Linked DNA regions of Xenopus tropicalis. The protein of the gene in region 1 purifies or fractionates together with the protein of each later gene. This does not show direct contact. Links are inferred from orthologs where the notes say so. Each region holds a gene or a part of one and is shown on either strand. Other genes may lie near its edges.

The links.
Region 2: the proteins of nsf (region 1) and scfd1 purify together in Homo sapiens (affinity purification with mass spectrometry; 3 studies listed by BioGRID and IntAct, with this or other methods). This does not show direct contact. The link is inferred for Xenopus tropicalis from reciprocal best matches to the Homo sapiens genes NSF and SCFD1.

The regions. Positions count from the first base shown.
Region 1 is NC_030686.2:15,510,114-15,524,824, reverse strand, and holds the end of nsf (vesicle-fusing ATPase), read left to right. Parts: intron 1-2,881; coding exon 2,882-3,048; intron 3,049-3,635; coding exon 3,636-3,743; intron 3,744-4,184; coding exon 4,185-4,260; intron 4,261-4,958; coding exon 4,959-5,114; intron 5,115-6,085; coding exon 6,086-6,285; intron 6,286-6,497; coding exon 6,498-6,663; intron 6,664-6,757; coding exon 6,758-6,832; intron 6,833-7,356; coding exon 7,357-7,544; intron 7,545-8,165; coding exon 8,166-8,261; intron 8,262-8,512; coding exon 8,513-8,669; intron 8,670-9,450; coding exon 9,451-9,584; intron 9,585-9,754; coding exon 9,755-9,821; intron 9,822-9,898; coding exon 9,899-9,978; intron 9,979-10,068; coding exon 10,069-10,203; intron 10,204-10,957; coding exon 10,958-11,071; intron 11,072-11,196; coding exon 11,197-11,252; intron 11,253-11,577; coding exon of another isoform or gene 11,578-11,605; exon of another isoform or gene 11,606-11,622; coding exon 11,623-11,632; 3' UTR 11,633-11,989; downstream 11,990-14,711.
Region 2 is NC_030684.2:113,040,219-113,056,282, forward strand, and holds the start of scfd1 (sec1 family domain-containing protein 1), read left to right. Parts: upstream 1-7,721; 5' UTR 7,722-7,760; coding exon 7,761-7,791; intron 7,792-11,887; coding exon 11,888-11,958; intron 11,959-12,619; coding exon 12,620-12,708; intron 12,709-13,491; coding exon 13,492-13,582; intron 13,583-13,760; coding exon 13,761-13,883; intron 13,884-14,125; coding exon 14,126-14,213; intron 14,214-15,037; coding exon 15,038-15,127; intron 15,128-15,990; coding exon 15,991-16,046; intron 16,047-16,064. Other genes in the region: g2e3 (G2/M phase-specific E3 ubiquitin-protein ligase), read left to right, coding at 443-615, 952-1,157, 2,108-2,334. UniProt on the Homo sapiens protein: Plays a role in SNARE-pin assembly and Golgi-to-ER retrograde transport via its interaction with COG4. Involved in vesicular transport between the endoplasmic reticulum and the Golgi.

The DNA.
Region 1 (14,711 bases):
TTTCGCCCGCCGCTTACGAGCGCTCAATACGAAAAAGTCGCGACAAGATACGAGCGCATCGTAATGGCTACAAAAAACTCGCGTTTTTTTCGCGCAAATCGTATTGGTAATGAAAAAGTCGCGACAATTTCCACAAAGTCGTAAAGGCGCCGAAAATTCGCAAAAAATACGAAAAAGTCGCAAAATGTTCGTTTTCCAATCGGAATTTTCCCAATTCGGATTCGAATTCGTGTCTTAGTAAATGTGCCCCTTAGGGTTCCATTGTCCAGAATGTCTCCCAATGTTTTAAATAAAGGTTTGGGCCAGTAAATTAAATCTGCAAAATATTGCAAGGGGGGGGAAGAAAATTGCCCCATAAGGGAAAGGGGGACTTTCTACGTTTGTGCAATGGGCAAGGGGACTTTCTACGTTTGTGCAATGGGCAAGAGATTCTAAAGATCCTAGAATTAATACATTCAAAAAGCATATTTGGATCATCTGCCTTCGGAACAAACAAGGAATGCAGGTGGGATAATAAATAATAGTGGCAGAGATTGTGAGGATTAAGGCCACCACGATCTTCCTGATCATAGGATGGAGTAGAGAATTCCATTAACTTTGAGAAAGAGTGACTTTGGGACTGGACCAGGGGAATTACAACATAAATACAGAAACTTCCTTTAAAAAAATCCCAATAGTGTATACTTACAAAAACAATATGACAAATAACTTTGTACAAGTAGTCATTCAGAGTCCAAGCAGAAGTTCCTCCCGAGGAAGCATGTTGTACCATGGACTCTCAATGACTTTTGTATAACGTTATTTATCATATTGTGTTTGTGAGTATACACAATTAGGATTTTTTCCCTATTAAAAAAGACATACTTCACTATCCAGCATTCCTGTTTTTATCCTGAATGTTTTTGGAGACTTCATGTAATTGTTTAACTCATATATCTCCCACGTCTGTGAGTAGGTAATCTACCCAGAGTGTTGCTATTGCACTGCATTGCACTTTCACTCTTTGGTTTTTATATATGGCAATTACAGAGTTTGTTTTTTTAAAGAATATGTGACAGTCCTGCAAGGTGGACTTATTGGGTGAGAGCTGCAAGCATCTTTATTCATGTCAGGATAAAGCACCGAACAGACTTTCTTTTTTCTAAGTGGGACCTCGGTTTATTTTCAAATTTTGGAAAGAGGAGGTTGGATAGCATTAATCTGATTCCCTCTTCCCCACCTTTGATTTTTCCCAGCAGGCAGTTATGGTAGCAGTGCTTTTATTAAGATCCCAGTAATTCTTATATTCTAGGGAGTTAGCTTGTAGTACTGAGGGGTTGGCTCACCAAAGTCTCCACAGCCAATCCTCAGGTTCACATATAGCAAGAAGTGATCGATATATTTTGTTTTATGCATTACGGAGTCACAGGAATATTGGGTAAGATCCAGGATTTTCCATTTCCATATTTCGGTGAGGTTCATTAGTGTTAGTCCTGTTGGCTAAAGGCATGGGAGATTTTGTGATGTAATGAGTTAAAGTTCCCTAGAATATACATGGGAGTGGGTATTCACTTGTAACTTAATGTGCCAAATGATGTACAGCAATATCCCACCTACAGCCCCTTTCTCAAGCACTTTTCCCACCTTCTCTACTTCCTATAAGAATACAGACTTATATTGCTATTTTTGTCCTTATCTCCCAGCACTTCTCATTAACACCTTTCTTCCTTTGAACTTCCCAACTAATATTAACCATGTGTACTTTAAAGAATATGGTCAGGTAGTGTTTCCTGATGCATCAGGACGCATGCAGGGCTGTTTTAATAAATGGGCAAAGGGGGCATTTGCCCAGGGCCCACCAGGAGAGGGGGCCCACTAGCACACCTTTTGTCCGAGATAACTTTTGCCGCCTTTTAATCAACTGAAGGAGCTCTATGGTATGGTTATTTTAATATCTTTGTATTTTTTTCCTGCGGCATTGCCATTTTGTATCTTCCTGCTCCCAGGGCTGTTGGTCCAGGGCGGCACACCTGGTCATCATATCTACTTTCGTAAGCACAGACCATTTCACCGTCTGCTTTACAATATTTAGAACTTCGTGTGCTTTAGAATTATTCGATCACAAATTTCTTTGCCCAAGGCCATTGGTACCTTAAAGTGGCCCTGGGAACATGGCTATCAGACCCAGTTTGGTCAGGTCCACTTTTACAAGGAATACAAATGTAGCTGTCCCGCTTGACATATATACTTGCCACTTTGTTTTTAGGGGGCGACTGTAAAAATAAGGTGCAATACTGTTGTTGGTCTGGTTGCTCAAGATTAGCACAACTGTTCCAACAACTGCAAGAGAACTGCCTGACCAAACCCTACAACGTTTATGAAACCCTGGCCTAAGACCTTTCTATTTTTTTTTATATAAAATACCAATATGTTTTCCTAACATTTCAGTGTGTATTTAAGTTATGTTGGAATAGAATTATCTGAATTGATGTACATGTCTGATGAAGTTGTCTTTAACGGAAGATATTGCTTCTTTTTAGAGGTTCTTAGAGATGTGGTATTTCTTGTAGAAGTTTCTGCATTGACCTATTGTGGTAAAAAGGCCATAATAAAAACATTACTTTCTCTCATACAAGCTTTTCTATGGGAATCTCTTTTATAGGTTGCATTAGAACAGCATTGTAATCTGTGAACTGTGTAATTCCAATATGAAGCTGAAGAACATTGTGTCTCACAGAAGCCACAAGCCCTCGTTGTTATCAGCTTTTATAGCAAAGAGATCATGTAGAGCTATTTTGTCTCCATAAAGAATTTGATTGTGCATGAAAGTACATTGTCCCCATGCAGGCCTTTGCTGAATAGCTCCAAAGGCTCCTAATTATATATTATCTCTCTGTTTCAGTCGGGGTATATACTTTCGACAAGACCAAGCAGTGCATTGGCACCATGACCATAGAGATCGACTTCCTGCAGAAGAAGAGCATTGATTCCAACCCTTATGACACGGACAGAATGGCAGCAGAATTCATTCAGCAGTTCAACAACCAGGCCTTCTCCGTTGGCCAGCAGGTGGGTTATATCCCTGCCATGTTCCGCTCTCCCACCCACCCCTGAGTCTATATCTACATGAATAGTGCTGCTTGGCTCAATCTGTATGCTCCAGCTCTGGATTTTCTTAACATTTCTATACTTGTTGCCTTGTATTGTTCCTGAGGTTGTAAGTTATCCTTGATGCCAATGTTTTTTATAGGGAAGTATAAAGTAGTATGAAGGCCATATTTAATGGAAACCCGAGCCATTCCCTACTTTCTTAATGTTTGCACCAGACATGCTTTCTCTGTGTTTTCTCTTTTTATTATCCCTCTTGTTTCTCTTGTCCATTCTCACTTTTCTCTCCCACAGTTTGTCCTCACCTATTTTAGAAAATAAGTCTGTGTTCCAGTAATCAGTAAATTAGATTTACATTGTAATGATTTATAATAATTTTTTTTTACAAAAGCTCTGGCTTTTTTACAATATTAGAAGCAAAATGATGACTTCAAAATGATGTCAATAAACATCTGAACTCACTGTTTATAGGACATTTTTGCACACTGTATGCATCTCTACTCTCACAAAGTACGCATGTATAATTGTTACCTCCTCCCTTTTTACAGCTGGTGTTTAGTTTCAATGACAAGCTTTTTGGGTTAGTGGTGAAAGACATAGAGGCCATGGATCCAAGCATTTTAAAGGGAGAACAGTCAACAGGAAAGAGGCAGAAGGTAAGGCCATTACATCATATCCACAGACCAAATACAAATGCGATATTTGCACATATTGTAAAGATAAGTGGGTGGAAATGTGAGATTGTAACATTTCAAATTCTCAGCGTTCTCTTCCTCTTATTGCCTTAATATGTGCACACTCATAACTGTACATATATCATTAAAGACTAGGATGGTCAGCTGTCTCTCACACGCATGTGCATGCCTTTGGCTAGCTGTACTGTAAATATGTTAAGCTGAAGTACCCCTTTCAGGTGGCGAATGTAGGGACACTCTAAGCCTGAGTGCCTCGTGCTGTAGGCATTGTTCCTGGGGATTGGTGCCATAGTGCATATTAGGTAGAAAATGATACTGTAGCCAAAAATCTTGATTTATACCTTTGTGCTGTGTTTACAGATTTTTAATTTGTTACTGTTCATGCATTTCTATTTCCTACAGATAGAAGTTGGACTGGTGGTTGGGAACAGCCAGGTGGTGTTTGAGAAGGCTGACAGCTCTTCTCTGAATCTCACAGGTAAGTTCTTTTAGACTGCCGTAGGGAACAGGACACTGCTCACAACTCAAGCAAACCATAGGGTGGTCTTCCATGATGAGTAAATAATTATTGTATTTTTCTGTATGCACTAAATTTGCGGGTCCTGCATCCCACCTTGCTGCAGGCAATCACCCATTGTTTGGGTTGTGCAGGTGTGCAAATCCATTGGTTGCAGGGGGGTTCATTTTTATTCCAGGAGGCTCAGTCATCCACATTGAATCCTACCAGCACAGGTTATCCCCAACCCCCTGCTTTTTATATTACTGTGCTGGGCTCTGGAGAGTCAGAGCTCGGGGTAGGACATTATGATTATTTACTGTAGTTGCTCTATTCCCCTAATATGTTGCTTAGTTTGAAAACCCCCCGAGGTTCCAAATGCTCATATGTAATGTTTCATTGTATCGAATGCAGTTCCTTATTTCATATTTAGCCACAGATCCTTTCTAATATTGTTGGTTCTTCCTTTTCACAGTGATAATGCTACACTTCTGAGTGGGTAATGTCTGTAGCATTTAGTCCCTCCCATTAAACGGGATTTTAAGGGGCAGAGATTAGGACATTAGGAAGGCAATGAAAGTTGCTTCCCCAATGAACATGTAGTTTTAAAATATTTATTTATTTAAACAGGTAGAGCTGCTAGCGTTTTTACAAAAACATCTTTCTGTCCATCTATTTAGGCAAATCAAAGACAAGGCAGGACCGTCAATCTATAATCAACCCAGACTGGAATTTTGAGAAGATGGGCATTGGAGGGCTGGACAAGGAGTTCTCAGATATCTTCAGAAGAGCCTTTGCCTCCCGAGTCTTCCCACCAGAGATTGTGGAGCAAATGGGTATGATGTCCTATATCACTGTGCCAACAGCATTTGGAAGACAGTGGGCACAAACCAACAATAGTAGCAGTGAATCTCATTGTGAAGGGGCATAGTGACCTTACCAGAAAGCTATTCAGCACATGCAGAAGCACTGGATTTCATTTCTCCGTGGGAGACACGGTTCTAGTTGTGCAGCCATTAAAGCCTCCAACTGAATGTCTGAATGCAGACATCCATAGATAAACTTGAAATCACATTCATGTCAAGATGCTTCCTATAGTGCTTTTGTTTCTTTGAGACTAGTGCTTTGCCTGTGTGTCTCTTGGTATGTGCCACCTGTGAGGCAGGTAAAGGTCACCCTCTAACTGTATTAGGCCAGGATGACAGACCTCTTCATATCTTGACACACACAGCTGTCACCAGTGGCAAGTAATCCCCTGTGCGCCAAAAAAAAGCAAATGGAAAAGGCCAAATCCCCATTTCTCCCACCTCTAATCTTCCCAGAGCTTTACAAAGATAGGCAGTAACTGTAAAGGTTGTGTACAAGGCAGGAACAAGTTTAGCTGCCAGCAGAGACACATATAAGGGCTGAGCTGTGCCAAGGTCTGCATCTTTACCATTGTTCTTTCAGACAGTTAATTTACTATGTTCCTATCAGTATCTTGTTTGCGCATGATATGTTTGCGCATGATGCCTAGTAATTTTCCTGAATGCTGGCTGATAGGCCAGTATTGTAGATAAGAGTGTCCTATAATCATATTTTGAAGACTAGTATTAACCCATGAGTCGAAATTAGGCTGCCCTTTGCCTGCAGTGTAGATCAAAGGCTCCCTAAGATACAGAAATATGCAGTGCATTTCATGCTGTCAGTGTATCTCAGAGCATCTTTGGGGGGCTGTGGGTCTTACATCACTATTTCTACTTTGGTAATACCCACCTGAATGTTCCCCATTAAAACGGAAGTCTGAGGCAGCTATTCCTTCCTACAGGCTGCAAGCATGTAAAAGGCATTCTTCTGTTTGGCCCACCTGGTTGTGGCAAGACCCTGATGGCTCGACAGATCGGTAAAATGTTGAATGCCCGGGAACCCAAAGTGGTGAATGGCCCTGAAATTCTGAACAAGTATGTGGGAGAGTCAGAGGCAAACATCCGCAAACTCTTTGCAGACGCAGAGGAGGAACAGAGAAGGGTAAGGTTCCCTATAGGGAATAAGCAGTGAATAGTGTTTTTCTTGCTCCTTTTTATTATTTAGTTCTGTTGCCCTTAGAAATGGAGCATACATGTTGGTAATGTGGGGGAAGGGCTCGCTAGGTGACACCTTCTGAATTGTGTTATTTGTATGTTTTATGGAACCAGTTGTACATTTTTGCCATGATATTATTTTTTTTTCTTGTGCCTCAGCTGGGTGCCAATAGTGGGCTGCACATAATCATCTTTGATGAAATAGATGCCATCTGCAAGCAAAGAGGTAGCATGGCTGGCAGCACTGGGGTGCATGATACTGTGGTCAACCAGCTGCTGTCCAAGATAGATGGTGTGGAGCAGCTCAACAACATTCTAGTGATTGGTAAGATGCTGGGGAAGAGCTTCTATGTACAGGGGAGGCACAGTGCTGCCTTATTGTGTCTGACTTACCTTCTTTCCCTGTTTCTCCTACCCAGGTATGACTAACAGGCCTGATCTGATAGATGAAGCTCTTCTGAGACCTGGAAGATTGGAAGTGAAGATGGAGATTGGTAAGTTAGTCAACCATTAGCCCATGTTTTGCATTAAAAGTATACTTAGTCAGATCTGTGCCTTCCATGTAACAGGCTAACAGACAAATTATAGGCCTATTTAGAAACATGGGGTAGGTCGCATGTTTCAGTACAGGCCCAAATTAGTTTGTGGCAGCTACTCCTCTAAAATTACCTGTGATTTGGGATTTGCTACAGATTGCTGTGCTTGTTCTGGTGGAGTGCTTATATTCTAGATATCCGATAGATGTTCATTTTACATCTGCAGTGCCCAGCAATGATTGCTGTTGCTGAAAGTATTTCCGTTGGTTATTGTGTCTAGAACTTTCATTTTGCCTGACCCTGACAGCTGTTTCAGTGCATTTAGATTCACACACTATTATCTTACTGAGTGAGTCAGCATTCATTGATTTACAGTAATTGTATCTGTTTGGATACATGTAATACTCTGCTATGAAAGCTTGTAATAAGTGTTTTGCAGATATTTATTTAGACATTTTTATGAATTCTGCTCATGTTTCCAGGGCTTCCTGACGAGAAGGGTCGCCTGCAGATATTGCACATCCATACAGCTCGGATGAGGGAGCACAGTCTTCTCTCATCAGATGTGGATGTTGGTGAACTGGCACAAGAAACCAAAAATTTCTCTGGAGCAGAACTGGAGGGGCTGGTGAGGGCAGCCCAGTCAACAGCTATGAATCGGCACATCAAGGTGAGACGCAAGTGCCGCTGGCACCCATACAGCACAACATTGAGCCTTTGAGCCAGCACAGACTAGGTTATGTTATAACCAGCTATGCAATATACAACATTGTATTACGGTGTAAGAAATGCTCAAAAGGTTCCTGCACATGAGATTGTTCATCGCTACACAGCAGAATAATCATCACTTGTTACTTTCCCTAGTAATTAAAACAGTGACAGTTTCTGTCTAACTGTGGCTATTATTAAGAAGATATTAGACCATCACAACAGCCTTACTTTTCCATGCCCATGTTGCATTGTTCTGTATTACCTCTATGAGAATCCAGCATTGGGCATGCTATGTTGTGAGTGTGAGCAACCAAACATGGCCACTATAGACATAACTACAGCATAACTAAAACAGGAATAAACCCCTGTATTTACTTATAGGCACTACAGAATATCCTGTATAACTATTCTAAGCATAAGACTTCCCTTGTACTACAATTCACTAGAAACACTTATCTACCGTGTTGTAGATCATTAAACCCCTTGTTTATGATCTCTGTGCAACAATATCCTATCTGTATTCAAGATGTGACATTTCTTACATCTCCTTGGTACTAATTGCAACCTCTCTTCCTCTCAGGCAACCAACAAAGTGGAGGTTGATATGGAAAAGGCAGAACGCCTGCAAGTGACAAAAGGCGATTTCTTCACTTCTTTAGGGAATGACATAAAACCTGTAAGTGGTCTATAGATTTACTAAGCTACTCCCATATGAGTTTATTGCCTGAAAAGCCAACACTGAATGAAACCCTGCACCGAGCAACTCAACAACAATCTTTAACTCCAGTTATAGTTCCTGAATTTTAAGAATGAACGAACTGAGTACAAACCAAGCTACACTTCTTTCCAATTTTATATGCATTAAATTGAACCTCAACGTATTTTGACTGTCCGTTCATTTGATTTTTTTTTTTAAACTCCTTTTAGGCTTTTGGAACAAACCAAGAGGACTATGCCAGCTACATTATGAATGGCATTATTAAATGGGGCGACCCTGTTACTCGGGTTCTTGATGATGGAGAGCTGTTAGTCCAGCAAACGAAAAACAGTGATCGTACTCCACTTGTTAGCGTTTTACTTGAAGGTGAGAGCTTAGTGGAGCAGAGATGGTTATGACGGCCTATGACAGAAATTAAGGAACTTTTTGGTTCAATTTACTCTTTCAGGACCTACATTTGTTGAGGCTCCTCTTTTAGTGATTCAACCACAGTTTCAGGAATACCTCAGACAGCAAATAAGTGCCAAATCTCAACTTGATTGAAATTCAAGCTAGAATACATTAAGTTAACTTTTAGTATGTTATAGAATGGCCAGTTCTTAGCAGCTTTTCAGTTGGTCATCTTCTTATTTTTTTATTGTTTTTGAATTATTTGTCTTGCTCTTATGACTCTTTCCAGCTTTCAAAAGGGGTTACTGACCCCGGTAGCCAAATTTGATTGCTAATTGAGGCTACAATCTCATTGTTTTTGTTCCTTTTTATTATTTATCTTTCTATTTAGACCCACTCCTATTCATATTCCAGTTTCTCATTCAAACCACTGCCTGGTTGCTAGGGTAATTTGAAGAGCTGCTGAAAATAAACAAAATAATTCAAAACCCACAAATAATGAAAAATGAAGATTAAAGGCAAATTGTACCAGAATAGCACTAGTTAATTTAAAGCTGAATAACCTCTTTAAGAGTACCTAGGAGATCAAAGTGCTATTTCCAAATCTTACCCTCATTCTTACCATAACCTTCTCACAGTTTTCGGTACCAAGGGCCAAAAGAAGATCTTTTGTAAATGCCATGAAATTAAACAGAGTGTGCTGATATGTAAAAAAAACTGCCATTAAATACTGCAATATTTGCATTTATCTATACAGGACCTCCACATAGTGGCAAAACAGCCCTGGCTGCCAAGATCTCAGAGGAATCTAACTTTCCTTTTATTAAGATTTGCTCACCGGAGAAGATGATTGGGTTCTCTGAGACAGCCAAGTGCCAGGCCATAAAGAAGGTGAGAAATAAAAATGTTTTTTTGCTTCACTATTAAAGCTTTTTTTTTTTTTGCCCCATGATTTACATATCAGCTTCTATCTGTCACATTTTAAAACCCCCCCCCCTTTTATTTTGCCTTTTCCCTTTCTATTCTGCTTTTGTAAAGAAGTGCTTTCCTTCCATTGCCAGATCTTTGAAGATGCGTACAAATCACAGCTGAGCTGTGTCGTGGTCGATGACATTGAGAGGCTCCTAGGTAAGGGTGTTCACCTTACCAATTGTTGATTGTTTATTATGTATCATAGGTAGTTAATTTACCTCTTTTCCTGCCAGATTATGTCCCTATTGGTCCTCGCTTCTCCAACCTAGTGCTGCAGGCTCTACTTGTCCTTTTGAAGAAGGCCCCTCCTCAGGTAAAAGAGCTAAAGTTTGGTAACTAATACAAACGCTAATATAATATACTTTTCACCATTGATATCCTTCTTTCTACCACTTTTCTAAAGGGTCGCAAGCTGCTAATTATTGGCACCACCAGCCGGAAGGATGTGCTTCAGGAAATGGAAATGCTTGATGCATTTAGCACAACCATTCGTGTCCCAAATATCGTCACAGGTGAACAACTCATGGAAGCCTTAGAGGTGAGGTCATGACTTGTGTTCTTTCAAGTGGGGAGGTGTGTGCTTAGCTAAATTGCCTTGTTTTTGGCAGACCTGGCCATTTTGAGTACACAGAGGCCCAAATAGCCCCCCTGACATCCCACTCCATAATTACTGTCTATGGCATCTTACTTAAGCCTGTCTGGCATTTCCCGAATCCGCATATTGCCAGTCCAGGCCTGGCTGTTAGACAAAACTAGAGTCAAAATATTAGAAAGGAGACTCAACAGTAGATCCTAAATCTAGAAGTAAAAGTATTATTGCCAGTATAGGGCACTTCAGATTCGAATATTTTTTAACATTATTGCATTTCTATGTATGCAGTGGAATTATTATGAGAGGAATGTGCAATAACACTTCCGATACATTGGTCTGACATCTCCTATAATTCTCCTTAAATATTCACAGAGCCCTGTTAGTGTGGGGTTCTATTTCTAAAACTATAGGATGGCACAGGAGTGGTTTAATCACTGGAGTATGGCATGGAGCAATGATATGGCATAAGGCATAACGGGGTGGGGGGGATTTATTTTTTTGTGTTATGTACAAAACCAAAAGAAAACAGTAATTGGAAAGACGGGCTGTGGAAACAACCTCCATAATGTTGGCTTATAGCCTTGTTCCCTCTACAAAGCACATCCTAGTAACTAATATGCTTGAACCTGAGTATCTTTAACCAGCCACATTGGCACCATCATAACAAACTTTGTTGACTCTTTGTTTCCTGTTTCAACAGCTCCTGGGAGGTTTCAAGGACAACGAAAGATCAGTAATCGCTCAACAAGTTAAAGGCAAAAAAGTGTATATTGGAATCAAAAAACTGCTGATGCTTATTGAGATGTCCATGCAGGTAAGTGGTGAGCCGATGGTTTAGATTTCTGTATAATGCTGATGCGGGTATACTTGCCTCCCTCATTGATGCTTGCAATGACTAAAGATTATTTTTAGCATGCTTAATTTTACCTGCTTTTGCAGATGGATCCAGAATACCGGGTTAGCAAGTTCCTTGCTCTTCTCAAAGAAGAGGCAGCGTAAGTATTTTCACTCACAACTTACAACCAACTTCCAAACCTCTCAACTTATTTTCGCAAGTTCCATTCCCCCAGAATCTTCTTTTATGTATAAAATGATTAGATAATGGTATTTGGGGGTTACATGATACTGCTGAATGACGATGTACATAATGTATCCAGCATTCTTTAACTGTCTGCCTGTTTCTAGCCGTGGAGCCCTGTAATTATTAGTTGTGCTAAGCAGAAACTCTCTTCTGCCTTATCTAGTATAAATAAATCTAAAGCAACTGGACTTGTTAAGTAATCATTGAAGACTTCTCTCTTCTGCCTTCTTTCTTTTAAGAGAGCCCGTCCATCGTGGCTATGACTAACATACTGTCTCTCCCAGATGGAAGTGAACATTGAAGCCGTTACCACATTAAGACGTTAAACATTCCCCAAAGTGCAGCTCTACCAGGGAAGGCTGGATTCTCGAATTGTGCTGCTGGCTCTGTGATTTCTCCGTCACGTGGTGCATGTTCTTAATAAATACCTTCTTGTCCGTCGTCCGAAGCTGTCGCAATACTTCCCTCTCTATCAGCTTCCTGAACTACAAATGCCCAAAGCAGGCTGTGATCCACTGCTGTCTTTCAATAGGTATTCTGTAACTCTGAGATGGTAATTGGTAAGCTTCTCAGATAACCTTTAAAGGGCCGCGATAACTTTATTTTTACCCTATGTATTTTTCTAATAGAAATATTAAAAATGAAACAATTTCCCTTTTTGTTTTGTTTCCCCCTGGCTTCTACGAAGGTGCAGTTTCAGCCTTGTCTAAACTGCCATTGTCACAGGAAATCTTTGTTTGCTGCAAGTGTATTGCTACACTGGAAGCAAATAAAGACGATTGCCTGTACAATGGATTGTACTATTGCCAGAAGTTAGCTGGCGGAGGGAAAAGTTGACCAGCAGGGTGGTAGGATTTTATTGTGGGCTGCAGCAAAAATATAAAAAGATTACTTCTCTGCCCTAGTATATGTATGCCTCCATACTAGGCACAATTCTCCATGGAGATATAAGGGGGTCAGAAATAGACAGCTATATTACCATGCAGTAGTGCATTAGGTTAATGGACGAAAGTTGTTAAATTCAAGGCCCAGACACTATATAAGACACTGTATTATATACTATTGTTGAAAGAGTTACAGATCGCTATGCCCTAGTGCAGGGATCACTAATGATTTGATCACAGGCTTAGGCTTTGCATGCCCTGCTGAAATCTGCCTGGCCACAGTGGGGGGGTATGGACACCGCAATGGTTTGCTCATCAGTATCTTAGATAAGAGCCAATGGGATTTGTGGGGCCCAGCCTTCCCCCAGTATGTGCATAATGTTCGTCGGATCCTTGGCCCTATGACGTTCTCTTGAGGTAATAAGTGCTGTGATTATGTTGCTGCTTTTCTTTGCCTCCCTTACCTTTCATAGCCCATGGCTGCCCACATCCCCCACACCTTTCCACTCCACTGTACATGTATATTTTTATTGTGAATTTTGAGTATTTTGTGGGATATCGCAACTGAAACCAGTTGCAGTAAAGTTATTATTTATCCGACACGCCTCGTCTGAATTTATCTTCATGGATATGATAAATGGGGGGTGCTTGGGGATTTATAGCCCTATGCAAAATATTATAATATTTGCCACTTTTTGGGGTGCAAGCAAAAAGCTAATATTCAGTAGAATTGGGTGTGAGATCTAAAGAGTCCCCTGAATGTGTTGCCCAGGTGGAAATGCCATGCTTAAAAAGCATTTTCTGAATGAATAAGTTAGAAATGCTCCTAAATAACAGGTACAGTAAGGTTGAAGAGAGCTACGGAAGAGTTTTATAGAAGGTTCATGTCCCCTCAAAATATTAGAAGGGTCATTTACACTGGCATCCGACTGTGCAAAGTGCCATATTTTTCACCCACAATGCAAAGTTCCACCCTCCCCCCCCTAAAATTCCAGCGTAAATGTGGCTGTGCATGGAGTTGCACCGTCCCCAGTTGTGCCTGATACATAAAGATGGGCGCAATGGCATGGGCTTGTGCGATTCTTCAAGCTTACAGGGTTAAAACAGCATTAGTGTGTGATTCTTTTGCCACAAGACTACTACTGTGCCTATTAAAGTGGTAGCCATGGAATTCCTGTCACCTACTGGGTGGCAGTTGCTCCAGGGTACCTCCAAGTACCTTTAAAAACAGGCAGCATATGAGTCCATTTGAGTGCTGGAGTGTTCATAAATGGCCCTGAGCAGCGGTATGAGAGTCAGAGATAATAATTCATTCAGCTGTGAATAGTCAGCCTTGTCTGCAAAGGTTAAATATTGCAAAAATTGCACCTGTTAGCCCAGAATATAACAAAACAGCAGTGTTCTCGAAGGCTGTTGTAACTAGACTATCCAGGAGGTGGCAGCAAATTCTAATATATCTTCCTGCAAAACTGATAGATTAGAGACACAGACACTCTATGTGTCATTTTCTATAGCAATAGAGGCATATTGATATCACTGGCCTAAAATTATATGAAAACATATATTAAAAAGGAAATGGCCCTCATTAAAAGTAAACTCTTACCTTTCCTGGAAATGTTTAGTAAACCCATGCACACAGGCTGGAGAATTCCTGTATTACAACAGTTTCACAGCAAGGTGGCATCTGTGAGTCTTTCTACCCGTAAGGTCCTCTGAGGCAATTCATTGAACCCAGCCGTTCATAGAAAGTGCACCTCCCCTAACAAGACATTATGTGTATTCCCTTGCAGTCCCCCCACCTGTGTGGCAGGTAAAGGTCACCCTGTATCTGTATTAGGCCGGGATGACAGACCCCTTCATTCCTCCATACTCAGCTGTCAGTAGCAAGTAATCCGCTGCCTGCCAGCAAATGTAAAAAGGCCAAATCCCCGCATCTCCCTCCTTTCCAAAGCTTTACTGGGAAAGGTACAAAATGCAAAAGATATGTACAAAGCCACTACCAGCACTGACCCATGGAAGCAACAACATGTCAGACAGGAGGACAGCAGAGAGAAAGATAAGGCCAAGGGTTCTTACATTTAGGCTTCATTGACTTATCAACATCCCAAACATTGCCATATTTTATTGCAATAAATACTCTGTGGATCCATAAGTTCTGTGTAACAAGTGCCATATGCATCATGGGAGCTTTGTGACCTTAGTCACAACTTAGGTGATAGGGGCACCAAAACCACTGAAATAGACCCTTTCTATAGATTACCCTGAAGTACAACTTGCTGAAATAGTGCTTGGTCACAAAGCCAGGGCAGGAAGTGCAGTGGGACATAGTTAGGGCAACCACCTTAGGGAATTAGTGCACTGGGAGAGAGTTGTCCCTAGGTGTCTGTGGCCAAAAGCCAGGAAGGGCCACATTGCCATTATGTATAGGGCACACATGCCAAGTGTACACTGGATCGGAAGGAAACGGACAATAGAACATCTGTGAATCT
Region 2 (16,064 bases), on another chromosome or scaffold:
CGCCCACCCCCTTTACTGTGCTTCCCTTCTTGTTTGAATAGGCAGCATGTCAGAGTCATCTGCTGTGTATTCTTCCGCCATGGTATATTAAAGAGGGTGAAGCTTTACATTAGACACTAGAAGTTACTAAACTGCTACAGTTTTCAGCTAACTGTTAGAAAATATATCAGACTAAATGTAGGGAGAGAGGTATGTCAATTTGGGGGGCTGTTTAGAGTCTTTTAAGGTTCAGGTTGACAAAGGTCTTGGTTCTGAAACAGGGTTTTCTAAATCCACACATGTCTGATTTTTCTCTATATGCTTAGTGGTGTAATGTTAATTGATAGTATGTATATTATGCATTGAACTTTGAAACTCTTGTTTGTTAATATTTACTTTTTGCTTCATGATCAAGATAGCAATGTATATATTGCATTTTTTAATTTTTTTCTCCATACTACAGATCCAGTCTTGCCAGAGAATTGGAACACTGAAATCTGCAATTATCCATTACTTTGACTACTTGCAGAAGACTGGTAGCCTGCGCCTGGTGCAAACAGTCAGCGATAAGGTTCTGATAATCAAGGAATTATTGGCCCATCATGTCATCCGTAGGGTACAACAGCCCCTAGAAAGGTAAAGCTATAGAGCAAAATGGCAAGCCAGTCTTCACAGTCCTGCTCCTCAAATAATCTGTGTATTTAATAGATAAGGGATGTCCAAGTTAACCTTTCCAACTGTTCTCAGATTGGAGAGCAATAGATTTTGTAGCCGTCAAATGTCCCGTACTAAATGTGTGTATTTCTGATGATGTAGAAGTGCTCTATTGTAAGTTACTTGCTTGCTACACAGTAAAATATTTAATATTTCATAAGGTTATATGTCAGTATAAAATTCAAAGTGTATATATTATATAATAATAATATATATATATTTACATTTGCTCAGCTGTCCATTTCATTTTTCTTTCAGCTTTAAACAAGGTTTAATGACTCTGGGGGTACTAGAAAAGATCCAGGCTCACCCGGCCATATTTTGGAGTGTCCTGGTCTTGGGACCAGAGAAACTAACTGCTAAATCCATGACCGACCTGTTCACTGTGACACATACAGACCTCGGTGTAAAGCAGCAGAGTGATGCTCTCGGCTTCTGGGTAGATTATCTGGAAGACACAGAAGGTTAGAGTTTTTTTTTTTTGTTTGTTTTTATTTTGGAGAGCTGGTTATCCCAAATAATTAATTAATTTATGTACCAGATATTTAAATATACTTATCAGATTTTCTTTGTGTTAATTTCATTCAGATGGATAAAGATTTACTCTTTTAAAGATCAACTTTTTTTTGGATAGATGTCTTAACAGAATTTAAAATATCCCCTCCAAGGGAATCCAGCTGTGATGTATCCCATGTAATAATTTGTGGCAGCCAGTGTTCTTTCTATATAACTACAAGGCTTTTCTCCATTAGTGTTTTAGCTGTGAAATATTTTTAAATAATCCAAATTGATCTCTAATCATTTTGAAAGAACTGTGGACCCTATATGAAAAGGGTTTCTTTGCTTAGTTAACACATTTAAAGGAACAGTAACACCAAAAAATGAAAGAGCTTTAAAGTAATAAAAATATAATATACTGTTGCCCTGCACTGGTAAAACTGTTGTGTTTGCTACAGTAACACTACTATAATTTATATAATAAGCTGCTGTGTAGCCACAGGGGCAGCCATTCAAGCTGGGAAAAAAGGAGAAAAGGCACAGGTTACATAGCAGATAACAGATAAGTTCTGTAGAATACAATAGTGTTTTATCTGTTATCTGCTATGTGCCTGTGCCTTTTCCCCTTTGAATGGCTGCCTCCATGGCTACATAGCAGCTTATTTATATAAATTATAGTAGACTTTTTGAAGTAAACACACAACTTTTACCAGTGCAGGGCAACAGCACATTATATTTTAGTTACTTTTACACACTTTCATTTTTTGGTGTTACTGTTTATTTAAGCTATAATTCCTGCCTATAAGCCACTGTTTTATATCATGTGATGGTTGTTAGTTCTTTGAAGGACCACTCAGTATTTGAGTGTCATTTTCTATGTTGATAGTATCTTAACATAAACTTCATTTTTTTGCAGAAGGGACAACTGTATGCTCCTTGGAGGATATTCTGAACTTTGCAACAGGTTTGCCCTCTGTTCCGCCTGCAGGCTTCGATCCACGACCGTCCATCCGGTTTAAGCAAATGGCACAGCCTAAAGCACGCAAATACATTAACTGCCTGGAATTACCTTCCTTCTCCAGCTATTTGGATTTCACCAGAAGCATGAACAAAGCATTATGTACCTTTCTGTGCAAAGCATAGTTGCAGACTTTTGCCTTGGGCTTCTTCATTTGATTGTTTCTTTCGTAACATTGCTTGGAGAATAAATGCTGCTGTGACTTGCTCTGTGGCCTCTTACTGAACTACAAAGGCCAACTGACCTTCCGGAGCCTTTGAAATGGCACCAGCAGTATTCTTTGCCAGACAAGACGTGGAACTGTGCAATTTTACAAATCTTTGCCTGCAATACTGAGATGAAAAAGCTGAGCTAAGCACTTCCTCAGGAGATTTTTTTTTTTTTTTAAATCATTGCTGCCTTTTCTGGAAGGCATTCTGCTTTCATCCCTATTGAGCATCATCAAACTAAAAAGGATTTTGTAGTATAGTTCTCTATAAATTGTGACTTCCAGAAGAAGTTGGTTGAAACCATAGTTCATACAGGTTTAAGCTCTTATTTTCAGCAGAACAATAATGAAGTGTTTATCTCTTACAATTAAAAATGAATAATGCAATGATTTGTTTTAATGCCTTTTAACATTTTATACATTGTAGAAATCTGTTCTGCTGTGCATTGCAGATCTTCCTACTTAAGAGGTTAAACAAAAAAATCTCTCTTGGAAGGCTTGTAACAATGCCATTTAGTAAACTCCCTTATCCCTGTATTGGGCCAGGCCATTGGAAACTGTGAGAGGAAGCAGGCTGATTTAAGCTACCGATCTGAATGGACAGATTGGCTTTGTAAAATATTTATATGTTCTGTGTTTCTTATTTTTGCCAAATTAATGTTTGTTGGGTCTAGGACGCCATACAGTTGCCTTAGAAATATTTGAATGTGTCGCTAGTTGCATGCTACAGTACACTGATACTGTACAAACTGCCTCTGTTTTCTGTTTCAGGCGGGTATTCCGTTTATTAAGGACACAGAGTATTGGGATATTGTGTCATTCTTCCTTTGTGTTTATGACTTACAGTTAAATACGTTGTGTCTGTTGGGGTTGTCTCGCTAATTTATTTATTTTAATGCTAGCTGTTAGTGCTATTTCATCAATTTAACTGTTTTTAACACACCTCTAAATCCGTTTTTTAGCACCCTTTTGACTGTCATTTTTTACTTTCATTGAGTAATCCTTCAACTGGGCAAGACACCTTTCCCTAAGCCTCTTTGTTTATTCCAGTTTTCTCTTACCTGCTGAATAGTGGTGGTATTTTTAATGTCAATGTTAGTGGCTGGTTAAATCAGACATCACAAGTATATACAAGCAAGTGTCAAAGGGTCTGTTTGTGCTATGAGCTGCTTTGGTGTCAGTATTCTACTTCAGTGCTGGTACATATGTTAAATGCATACAAGTGATGCACATTAAACAGGCAGTTGACTGTGCTCACAGTTTAACATACAGCCGTGCAATGTATGTGCACTGAACTCATGTACAAATGAATCACAGTAAAGACCCATGTGCTAAATTGTTGTGTTTTTGCATCTCTCCATGGCTCAGTGTTTTATATTGTACTAGCCTCCCACAAACTTCTGAATTGTGGTGTTTATATAGGAACCTCCAGTCAAGGCTGCCTAATGCTATGTCAGTGTTTTCTTTGTTAACACTGATATTGATTAAAGAATCCATTGATTTGTCCTCATCCTAGAAAAACCGTTTCTCATCACTATGACCTATTACATTTGTGTCATTCTGCACTGCTGAAAGTAAGGAAAGCTTATAGGGTATAATTAAATGCATTATAACCATATGAGACAGAGGGGAAAGGCCTTGGTGTGCATTTGAAGGCAACACTTGCTATTTATAATAGAGAGGTCTGCAACTGTCCTGGACAAAGCATACTGATTGGAGAGGACTTTGTATACATAGTTTTTAGCAGGCAGCCATAAGGCTTAAGACAGAGTTAAGACATCCACAAATCAAAATTTGTAGAAATCTGTATGCCCCCCCCCCCCATATTCCTTTTGCATTATACACACTTTATGGAAGTAGACATAGGATCTTATTTATCTGAGTAACTGTAGCTGTCTGTGCAGCTATATGGCTGAGCCATTGTGATTTTTACTATGAAGAAATGCCCAGAACATTGTCACCACTCATAGTTATGTATACATCCCTCATACTTTTTTTTGTTTTGTTTGTTCTTGTTCAAAATCTGTGCAACTTAAGAATTTTTAAATTCCAATTGTCTGTAGTATTTCCGATATGCAGAGGGTATACTGTTATACCATCTACTGAGAGGCTTTGTAAGGGTGTCTCTTGAGATTCTATAAAATAAACTTTTGTGGAATGATGACTGTAATACCAGAAGATGCCTATTCCTGTATTTTTGTAAAAGCTATTCATTCACTGCATTTTCTACAACATAATTTATAGTTATGAGCTGTAGCTTGTATTTGATATACTGCGGTATTAATACTGGGACATGAATAGCAGCAATCCAGTTACAATGTTAGGCACAACTGTAGTTATTTCTGAGAATTCTATTTAGACTGAAGTGTCTAACAACTATGAACAACCTACAGCCAAGGGTCATAAAATGCTCAAAAACTTTTCATACTAATCTATTTTTTTTTTCTTCTTGTTTTGATAACCAATGTACATAGGTTGTTTCCTGTAATTAAATGTTAATGCAATTAAATCGATTTATATCAAACTATGGTAAAGCCTGAACTTGCCTAACTTGTTTTTTTTACAGAATTAATTCAAAGGGTTTTAATTTTTTCCAATAAATGTGTCCCACTTTATGCTGCTTTTAGCATTTTATGTCTGTGTATGCTGCAGTCCTATGATAGCAAGTTGTTTGGAACCCACTTAATATAAGGCTACAGCCACAAGCGGCTGATTCTCGGCCAGCCCCTACACTCCGAACAGCCTATTCATGTGTAGACACATGAAGCAGGTTTTGGCGGCAAAATGCAACTAAATCTCAGTATTTCTGCACCTGGGCAACCACAACGCCTCTGGGTTAAGGCACAGGGAAAGGCTGAAACCGATGTAGGGACTTGGTTACTGACCTGCGTTTATCTGCAGGCCAAGAATCGTCCTGTGTGGCTTAGGCCTTAGGGTCCCCAGTGCAAGCCACACACATTGAAACAATGTTCTACACTGATTCTGATTCATTTTACCTTGTAAAATTAAAGTCACTGATCTAGAAGTAAACGTTCAAAGAATTAATGAAGGGAATTTTCTAGGTGAAGCAGCTATAGTTGTGACCTCTATGTTGGCTCTCTGGTGTTGATCTCTGGCTAAAGCCCCCTGGAGGTAGACTCTTCCAAAGAGTCTTTGAATGGGTGTTTCAAAGACAAATTAAAAGATATTAAACAAAAGCACAGGGCTTCCCTCTGTCTTCTGAGAAGGTTGCTGCACCTTTCAGACCAGCTCTGCATCAGTGTTGTGGTTCAATGGGCAATATCATTTACCCAGTGCTATTTTCTCTCCCTCATAACAGTAACTTTCAGGAAGTTATGCCACAAGATAACCCTTTTGTACCAAACAAAATGGTCCACAACAGTCCTGGGGTGGTCAGCATCTTTCTAGTGGTGAATAGGTATTCTGGAAAGTCAAGGGGATTGATGTGCTTGTTATACAGCAAATGTATTTTTCAAAATTATGCATTATACTTAGTGGTCAGTAGAGGGGAGGGATATTATACTTAGTGGCCGGTAGAAGGCAGGAATATTTTATTTACTGGTCAGTAAAAGGCATGGATATATTTATCTGAGCTGTACAAAATGGGTGAACAAGTATTACTACAGACATATATAGTGGGTAGTGTACTTCTAAATTAAGATTTAGTAGGATGTAGACAATGATAATCTGATACAATTTTTGTATTTGATATTCATTTTTTTTATCTGGTTGCTAAGATCTAATTTATCATAGCAACCAGGCAACGGTTTGAATGAAAGACTGGAATGATGCAATAGAAAACAACAATAAATTTGTAGCCTTGCAGAACAATTTTTTTTTCTGCTGAGATCAGTGATGTTTCCTTCTCCTTTAAAGAGGTAATGTGACTTTTAATTCATCAGTCTCAGCTTGCATTCAAACAAATACCCCAAGCTGTGCATATGTGAGAAAGCTCAAACCAGCCAAAATATGTAGATCAATGTTTTCTGCAACAAACCCTATTGTTATTCCCTGTGCTCGTCTGGTCAATCTATTTGTATTTACGTAAACCCTAATCTATCCTGAGCCAGGTAAAGGTGGCCATACACGAGCAGATCCGCTCGCTTGGCGATGTCACCAAGCGAGCGGATCTTCCCCCGATATCCCCACCTACGGGTGGGCGATATCGGGGAGCATTTAGGTAAAAAAAATAAAATAATCCGATCGTTTGGACCTGGGGCCAAACGATCGGATTATGTGGTCGGCAATGGGGCAGTCGGATCGGGGACCGCATCAACGAGCCGATGCGGTCCCCGATCCGACCTGATTTTCTAACCTGGCCGATCGAGATCTCAGGCCAGATATCGGTCGGCCAGGCCGCTCTGCTCTCCCCATACACGGGCCGATTAGCTGCCGAATCAGTCCAAGGGACCGATATCGGCAGCTATAGTCGGCCAGTGCATGGGGACCTTTACTGTCTATCTGCACACTGGGACCTATTTATTAACAATGGAGACAAACATCACTGGAGATGTTGCTCATAGCAACAATCAGACCTTTGCTTTTGTTTTCTAACTTGTAACTTGCTGATTAGTTGCTATGAACAACATCACCAGCGATGTTTGTCCTCCAGTGTTTAATAAATACTCCCCAAACTAGGACTCGTATTGTAGGCCAAAAGTGGCCATAAACTTGCCTAACTGCCATCATGGTACATTTTAAAGGAGAAGGAAAGTTAAAATCACAGAGAGCTTGCAAAATTTTAGGTGCCCACTAGTGATTATAATCACTTACCATTTAATGCTTTTCAGTTCTTCTGTTGCCCTGGACCAGCAAATGTGCAACAGAGTAAAAAGGCCCAAATAGCCTCCATGGGCCAGGCCTGGGATGCAAACTACACAGAGGTCCAAACAGCCCAATAAATAGTGAGTGTGTATGGCACCTTACCATGGGAAGCTTGGGTACATAACTGGTTGCCTGTGCAAAAGCTTTAACAGATTAGTCCGAGTCTAGGTTGTTTTCCCAAGCTGCAAAGCTGTCTGAGGGTATTTTAACCTGCTGCCCTGAGTACTTCTGGTACCATTCTCTCTCGCCTTGTTCTAAACTGAATATATTTTGTACTGCACAATGCGGCTTGGGTAAATCACAGATGCCATTGCCCTGTACCAGCTTGGAACGCAGGCACACACTTCCTATTAGACCGTGACTTCCGTGTTAGTCAACAGCAGCTTCCAGTATAAGCGGTAGGCTTGCAGACTCCGCCCCCGTTGCTCTGGAGACAGCTGTCAGCCAGCAGGGCATTCGCTCCTTTGCCACGTCACCTCTATTGATGTCAGGGCGAGAGGCGGAGCTTGAGAGACCAAGATGGCTGCTTCTATCCGGGAGAAGCAGACGGGTGAGAATTGGGAGATGCTGGGGTAAAACTGGGAATCTCGCAAACAGAGCTAGTGGTGATGGAGGGGCATTTAGTAATGGGAGAGAGAGCGAACTATTTGAGAGAACGGAATTTGGCAACGGAGAAAGGAAATCAGGCACCGGCCAGAAACCGAAAGTTGTGATTGTACGAATGGGATTAGACTTCCCTATACGAGTTGCATGACACTAACATGTCGTTCCTAATGGCTGACACACAGTAAGACCTGGGACTGTCCAGCTGTTGCTGAACTGAAACTTACACCACCCACGTCATTTTGATGAAAGCTGATTAGCAGGGCACCTTTCAGTGTTTATAAGTGTGTGTGTGTGTGTGTGTGTGTGTGTGTGTGTGGGAGGGGGCACTAATACCTAAGACAAAAAATTAGGGGCAAAAGGATTAACAGGCAGCATATAAATCACATGAAATAGCCCTGACACAGCTCAGCACCAAGAGATCTTCATCCAGACACTCCCTTGCTTGGCCACCATTTAATCAGTGCCCCTTGCTCATTACAATAAAATATGAGAATTGCTGAGCAGAGGCTAGCATTGCTGCCCTGTAGTGCTAGGGACTTTCTCCCACACTCCAAAACATACAGGCGGGTTCATTGTTTATAACACACAATCCATAAATATCCTGTAAATTATATTCTTATAAACTGTGCTTATTGGTGTCATCAGCTATAATTGGTGCTTATTGAACTGTAAGTGTGAAGACACACAGAGCTACTAGTAGCAGCTACTTGTTGTGGCTACAGAAATAGACAATGCTGATCATTTACTGATAATTGTCTCTACATGTGTTTTAGCAGATGCAAGTCTCAGTACCGTCTATGGCAGGGTATTTTCTGGAGTTTAGTTGCCATGAAAAAGTAGCTGCTATTAGTAGCTCAGTGTGTCTTCACCCTAAGAAAATAGGCATCTGATTTCTCCTTATTTATTTAGTAATTTATTTTCTGCTATTTATATAGTACTTACACATTTCTGCACTGTTTAACAAAAATTATACATGGTTCATTGCTCCAGTGGAACTTACTTCTTCTGCCTACCCCTAGTCTGGGCTTTCTTGCCCAAGCTGCGGCGCTCCCCCCATGAATACACCCCACATGGGTGCACTCTTTAGCATGCATGTGATGGGGAGGAGACCGGCCGTATTGCCCGACTCCTTGCAGATTGTGCCTAAAATTAAACTTAGGACACCAGTTCTGTAAGGCAGCAGTGCTACCCTACCTTGTTAACTTGTATGTTATAAAATTTCTTATTTTTAAAAAAATGTTGTCTTTTTTTTTTTTATTTGTTATAGTTTTGAATTATTTGCCTTTCTGTTCTGCCTCTTTTCAATAATTCTTAAACAACAAAAAAATGTATAAATTAAGACCAATTATCAATTGTATCAGAATAACTGTCTATATCATACTAAAGTTTCATTTAAAGATGACTAGTTGGCTGCATAAAGCATATTGGGAAGGTGTTCAAATAAGCTCCACAGATGGATGGCAGAAGAATCGTTAAGATACAGGAAGCTGTTGCATAAAGTCAGTCCCAGCCAATAGAGACTTTAAAAGGAAAAAATATCCCCTTTAACACGGGCTGATTTGTTGGGCTTGTGTAAATCATGTATAAACACTATGTGAGCTGCTACAAATAGATACACAGTACAGGTATGGGACCTTTTATCCAGAATGCTAGGGAAGTGGGGTTTTCTTTCTGTCATTTGGATCTCTATAAATTAAGTCTACAAAAAAAATAATTGACACATTATTAAACCCAGTAGGATTGTTTTGCCTCCAATATATTATATTTTATATTTTAGCTGTATTTAAATTTTATCTGGAAACAAGTACAAGATAATGTTTTATTATTATAGAGAAAAAGAAACTTATTTTTAAAGATCTGAATTATTTTATTAAAGTGGAGTCTATGGCAAACAGCCTTCCCATAATTTGGACGTTTCAGGTTTTTGGATATCGGATTCCATACCTGTACTAAAAAGTGCAGTAGTAAAGAATATGTGAAATGAATATTTGGTCCATTTTCGTGCAGTTTATGTAGGTACTCACAGGATATTTTGGCTTCTGCCAGACTAGCTCGAAGGTGCTGAGGTCAGGGCTCTGTGGGGGCCATATTATCTGTGGCACGATTCCCTGTTCTCTGTTTCCAATAGTTTTATGATTTTGGCTGTGTGTTCAGGGGCATTGTGATGCAGCAGAATGAATTTGGGACAGATCAGATGCCTTCCCGATGGTACTGCGTGATGGATAAGAATATGCCTGTACTTCCCAGCAGTAATTGTGCCGTTTTTGACCAAACTCCATTTGAAGAAAATGCATCCCCAAACCACAGGGAAACTCCTCAGTACTTCACTGCGTGGCATTTATTGGTGTCTCCAGCAGACACCATCAGTTTGAAGAGAAATGGCACTCACTCCTTGGTCCACTAAAACTTGTCTGTCTTCCAGCAGACACCATGCCTTCTACTAGATCCAAATGTTGCATGTTTTTGCATGTAGCTGAGCTGTTTGGTTTTGTTTCCACCTTGGAGACATTGCTTTATTGGTGGCATCTTATTGGCCAACAAATATCTGGCTGAAAAACAACCAGATGACGATCGGGCATGTTTAAAAATCACTTCGGTCGAGGAGTGCATTGGTGCATTGATGCAGTTTTTGTCCCAATGCCCTGCATCCCGTCAATGTTATTTGATTATATCAATCCAATATAGCCCATCTCATGGTGGGCATATCGGGGAAAGATCCGCTGGTGTATGAACAGCTTTAGTGTCAACTCTTGCATGAAGACCTCTTTCGATAACAGTCATACGTAGATGGGTGTAGCAGGGTCCCGGTGGTTTCAACCCTGCCAGTTTGTGCAGCTGCAGAAGAGTTTGGACAGCAGAACTGGAAACACCTGTTTGCTATGTCATTTCTGTGTCTCAGGCAACCCCTGCCTACCCTGAGGAGTGAAAAACCTACACACACAGTGGCATATTTATTAATAATGGAGGCAAACATACCGATGATGTTGCCCATAGTAACTAATCAGGAATGATATTGGAATGGTCATCTACAAGTTAGAAAACAAAAGCAAAGATCTGATTTGTTATTTTGGGCAACATTACCAGGGATGTTTGTCTTCTACTGTATGTTAATAAATACACCCCACAGTGTTAAACTTAAAGGAGAAGGAAAGGTAAAAACTAAGTAAGCTTTATCAGAAAGGTCTATGTAAATACAACCATAAGCACTCACAGAAACGCTGCACTGAGTCCTCTATCAAAAGAACACGTGATTTTGTGTCTCCTTTTTTAGGAACATGTTCTTTGGTATCAGACTTCCTCTCTTTTAGGGCTCTGTCAGGTTTGGGGCTTGAGTCTACTCAGTTCTCCCTCTCTCCCTCTCACACTCCCTTCTCCTGCACCCTCTTCCATAAGAATGCATAAGAACTCATTCCCCCCTCCCTTAGGAATGTGTGATCTTAGCTTCCAACGGCTATAACTACAGCAGGAAGCTACCAAGACCAAGCTAAAATGGCAGCTGCTATCAGAGGGAGCTTCTAGGCCTGTTTACTCAGGTATAGTAAAGCTTTCTGCAGAATAAATATGGCGTTGTAGGTGGCATTAATGTGGCGAATCTATTGGCAGTAAAATGCCAAAATGACTTTCCTTCTCCTTAAAGTGCAAAATGTCAGTGCATGCAGGAAAAGTATCCTGGGCTGAGGCATTTTTGAAGAGGAGCACTTGTGAAGGAAGGAATTAGAATGACTATGGGTGCCTAACAACTTTGTGTGCCCCAGTAATTGTGCCTTTTTGTTCTTCTTTAAAGAATGCATACATGACCCATACCTTGTGTCTCAACCCCTTTCCCTTATAGATTGCAAGCAGTTACTGGTTGCTTTGTGTGTAATTTTGTATGTCCAATGTCAAGTTGAACCAATAATGTGAGAAATGCTAATGTAAGCACAATTTATGTTATTTAGCTTATGAACTGATCTTTTACCCACTGAAGAGTTTTTTTTGTTTTCCTAAAATATTTACACTGGTAAGTGTAGGTTTATTAATTACTGTTGTTGTTTTTCTAGTTGCTTTAAAGCGTATGCTGAATTTCAATGTTCCCCTTGTAAAGAGCAGCACAGGAGAGCCAGTATGGAAGGTGAGAGCTCCTAGCTACTGCTTGCAGAAAATACCTATTGTTTTAATTAAGAAATATTTATAACTTATGATATTTCTGGCACTAAAGAAGAGAATCAAAACCAGTATCACTTTAGCACTTTCTGTTACTTCCTGGTTCTGACGAGCAGCTGCTCAAAGGTTGTAGCTTAGGGAGGAGAGGGTTTTGTTTGTTCTAAGACAGATTCTCTGAACAAATTGCCCCTTTTATAATGGGAAAAGGGGGGAGCTATTCAGTTAAAAAAAATGCAGTTATTGCTCTGTAATGGTAAAAAACAGGGAGACGTGGATTTTATTAATTAAATGAACAGTGCTATTGATTGTTCTCATTTAGCAAAGGTATTTTTAGGTGTGTACTGTCCCTTTTAAATCATTTTACAGGGTAAGGGCAACAGCACAGTTTTCTAGTGATAATCACCAGACCTGTGTGTGGACTGGCAGCCAAGTCAGTGCATTAAAGTCACTTGACAATTAAGGATTGGGACATTGCTTTGGATAAATACTGAAATTTTGCTCAAGCCGAAACCTAATTCCCTACGACTGAACCATGCCTTTCCTCAAAATGTATTTGTTACTGAAGGTACATTTTTGCCTGTAGCTAATTCTTTAATTAAATCTAATATTATTTTTTGCTTTCACTTCAGGTTCTTATTTACGATCGATTTGGCCAGGACATTATCTCTCCTCTTCTGTCGGTGAAGGAATTAAGAGACATGGGAGTCACTTTACATTTGTAAGATAATCTGTTTCAGGCTGGGCTTCGCCTTATCACTGAATTTTAGAATTGGCATTTAAGGTCCCCATACACGGGCCGATTGTAGCTGCCGATAACGGTCCCTTGGACCGATTCGGCAGCTTATTGGCCCGTGTAGGGGCAGAAACGAGGGGCCTGGCCGACCGATATCTGGCCTGAAATTGGCTAGATATCGATCGGCCAGGTTAGAAAATTCAGTCAGATCGGGGACCGCATCGGCTCGTTGATGCGGTCCCCGAACCGACTGCCCCATTGCTGCCGTTAGAATTATATCGTTTGGCCCCAGGGCCAAACGATCGAATTCGCCTACAGGTTCCCTGATATAGCCCACCCATAGGTGGGGATATCGGGTGAAGATCTGCTCGCTTGGCGACATCACCAGGCGAGCGGATCTGCCCGTGTATGGGCAGCTTAATCACTTTGCTTCAACATTTTCTCTACTTTAAGCCAGATATCAGTCAAATAGGCCCATTGGAGGGCCCCATACATGGGCCAATAAGCTGCCAACACTCCATCAGTAGCTTTTATTGGCCCACATATGGTACCTTAAGGCATTTTAAAGCACTGAGGGCAAAATTCCCCAAATCACATTATTCCATTACCTACAGTGTCTCTATTATGTGTCTTATCCATTGCAAAATGGTTTCAATGATTTTGTTTGGGTTTTGTATAAACATGTTAAGGCTTTATCCAACCTTCTGCTGTTTACCAACCAACATGTGTAAAGTATTGCGATAACCTCCATGGCTTCCCTCCCATTAGGCTTTTACATTCAGATCGTGATGCTATTCCAGATGTCCCCGCTGTATATTTTGTAATGCCCACAGAGGAAAATGTGGACAGGATATGCCAGGTAATTAGTACTGAATGCCTGATATTTCCTAAGATATATGTAAAGCATCGCCAATCAGAAACAAGATTTCTCAATAAGAGAGAATGCTTTGATTATATGTAATTTGTGAATAACTTGTAATGGTGTATAGTTATACTTATGGTACCAAACATACTTTATTCTTTCATCCTTATTGCAGGACCTAAGGACACAGTTGTATGAGTCCTATTATTTAAACTTCATCTCCGCCATTTCTCGCAGCAAACTAGAGGATATCGCAAGTGCAGCATTAACAGCCAACACTGTGTCTCATGTCTCAAAGGTAACATAAGCGCCACATTTCTTAGGGTGGTTTGGAGTCCTCTCTAGGTTATGGTATGGTTGCTAAACGTGCGTATTACCTAGACCAGCTCAGACTGATAGATGGTTTGGCCCCTAAGCCAATGAGTGGGTAGTAATGGAGGCCCAATCAGAGCTTCCCAATAGATAACTGACTGATTTTCACAAATTTTAGTGGCCGTTACACTATCATGGGTTTCATTTCTATGTTTTGTTTCCCACCAGGTTTTTGACCAATACCTGAATTTTATTACTTTAGAGGATGACATGTTTCTGCTGTGTAACCAAAACAAGGACCTGGTGTCTTACCGGGGTAAGTGAAAGGGATTTTATTTAGGGCTAAGGGATGCAATTAGCCCATTTACATGTGCAGAGTTTTTGGTTATGTTTCTGCACTATAATGTATAAAGTGTAAAAGGCTGCTAAAACTGAATGAAAGTATTTCTCAAAAACATTAAGTAATATGGTAAATAAACTCCACTTCTGTGAGCTGCCCCTGAAATTAGCAGTTACCTATGTGAGTTACAAGTTACTCTTAAATATAGAGAGAAGGCAGGCACTCCGGTGTTGTCAGTGAAGAAAAGCGATTGTTCATGAGAAGTAGAAGTAAAATCACAAAACTTTTATTAAGCTAACACATGATACAGAGAGCCTAACGCGTTTCGTACCTCACGGTACTTAATCATTGGCTGAATGAGAATTGACATACACAAAGTATTTAAGACAAAGGGAGCCAATGGTTTTTCAAAAGTAATTAGCTGATGTAAACGTAATTAACCAATTAGAAACTTGGATGGCTAATTAGGAGTCAGGAACATATAAACAGGCCAGAATAGAAAAAAAAAATCCATGTGTTCAAGCAGTATATTAGTAGTGTATATATATACATAAAAGTTTTACAAAGATGACTCATTATAGTGTATTGATATCTAGGAGAAAAGGGCAGTCTAGTAAATAATAGACATATAAAGTTCACAAAATTACAAGTTACTCTTGCCTTAATCTAGACCCTCTGCTCAGCATGATGTGTAGCTCACTTAGCTGACTGACTGCAGACTGAGGTTCAGTTGAAAGCCCCTCAGTTCAAGCACTGGGCCATTTTTCTCTTTTACTTATCTGAATGTGTTGTTTCTCCAGCTTTAAACAGATCTGATATCACGGACACAGAAATGGAAACAGTGATGGACACAATTGTTGACAGCCTTTTCTGCTTCTTCGTCACACTGGGTATGTTCTTCATTGTCTGAGCAGGAAGTTTCCAGTTTGGTATTAACAAGCGTGTGCAGAGCACATTGGTTTATTGGGCCATTTTAAGAAAATGCAGGCCATAGTGGCACCTAATAACAGATATGTTTATTGCTAGGCCAAAAAAGTGTTATATTTAGTAGGCATAAGTTAAAAAAGCATACTTCTCTTCCCTAGAACTGGGGGACATAGGTTCCATGGGTTAAACTTCCTTAGGACAGGAGCATGAATTCTATAATCTTCCTTCTGCCTATGAAAGTCCCATCAGTTATTTTGTAGTGTCAATGTTATTTTTTATTTTTTCTTGTGGTGATTCAAGAAGTGCAGTACCCACAGGACAAATACCTTGCTACCCACTGGATAATGGTGAATGGTCTAGGTCACCAAACAATTTGATCTTTCCCCAATATGCCCACTGGATTGCAGCAAGTGGGATACAGACTGCCAGGATTGCATCAATGGGCTGATGGGGTCCTCAATCCAGTGGGAAAATCAAACGTTCCCGATTTGTCATCTGGCTGAATTTCGGTCAGATATCAGTCGGTTAGGTGTGTCAGAGGGCCCCATCCATGGGCATATAAATTAAAGGGGCCAAATGAGTAGCTTAAATCTTTCCGTGTATGGACACTTTTACTTGCAGTATAATCAAATCTAAATGCTTGTTGGTTTACATTGGTAATGTCATTGGTGCAATTTAGCACCTATTTCAGTAAAGCCCTATTGTTTTATAGAACATGCTTGCTATGTGTTCTTTTAACATAAAGTCTCTTAGGGTGATGGCTGCTATATATGTTCTCTTGTATATAGAGGCTTAGGTCTCATAATGTTCACACTATCTACTATAGGTGCTGTGCCCATTATACGATGTGCAAGGGGAAATGCTGCAGAAATGGTGGCAGTGGTGAGTACCATAGCTGAT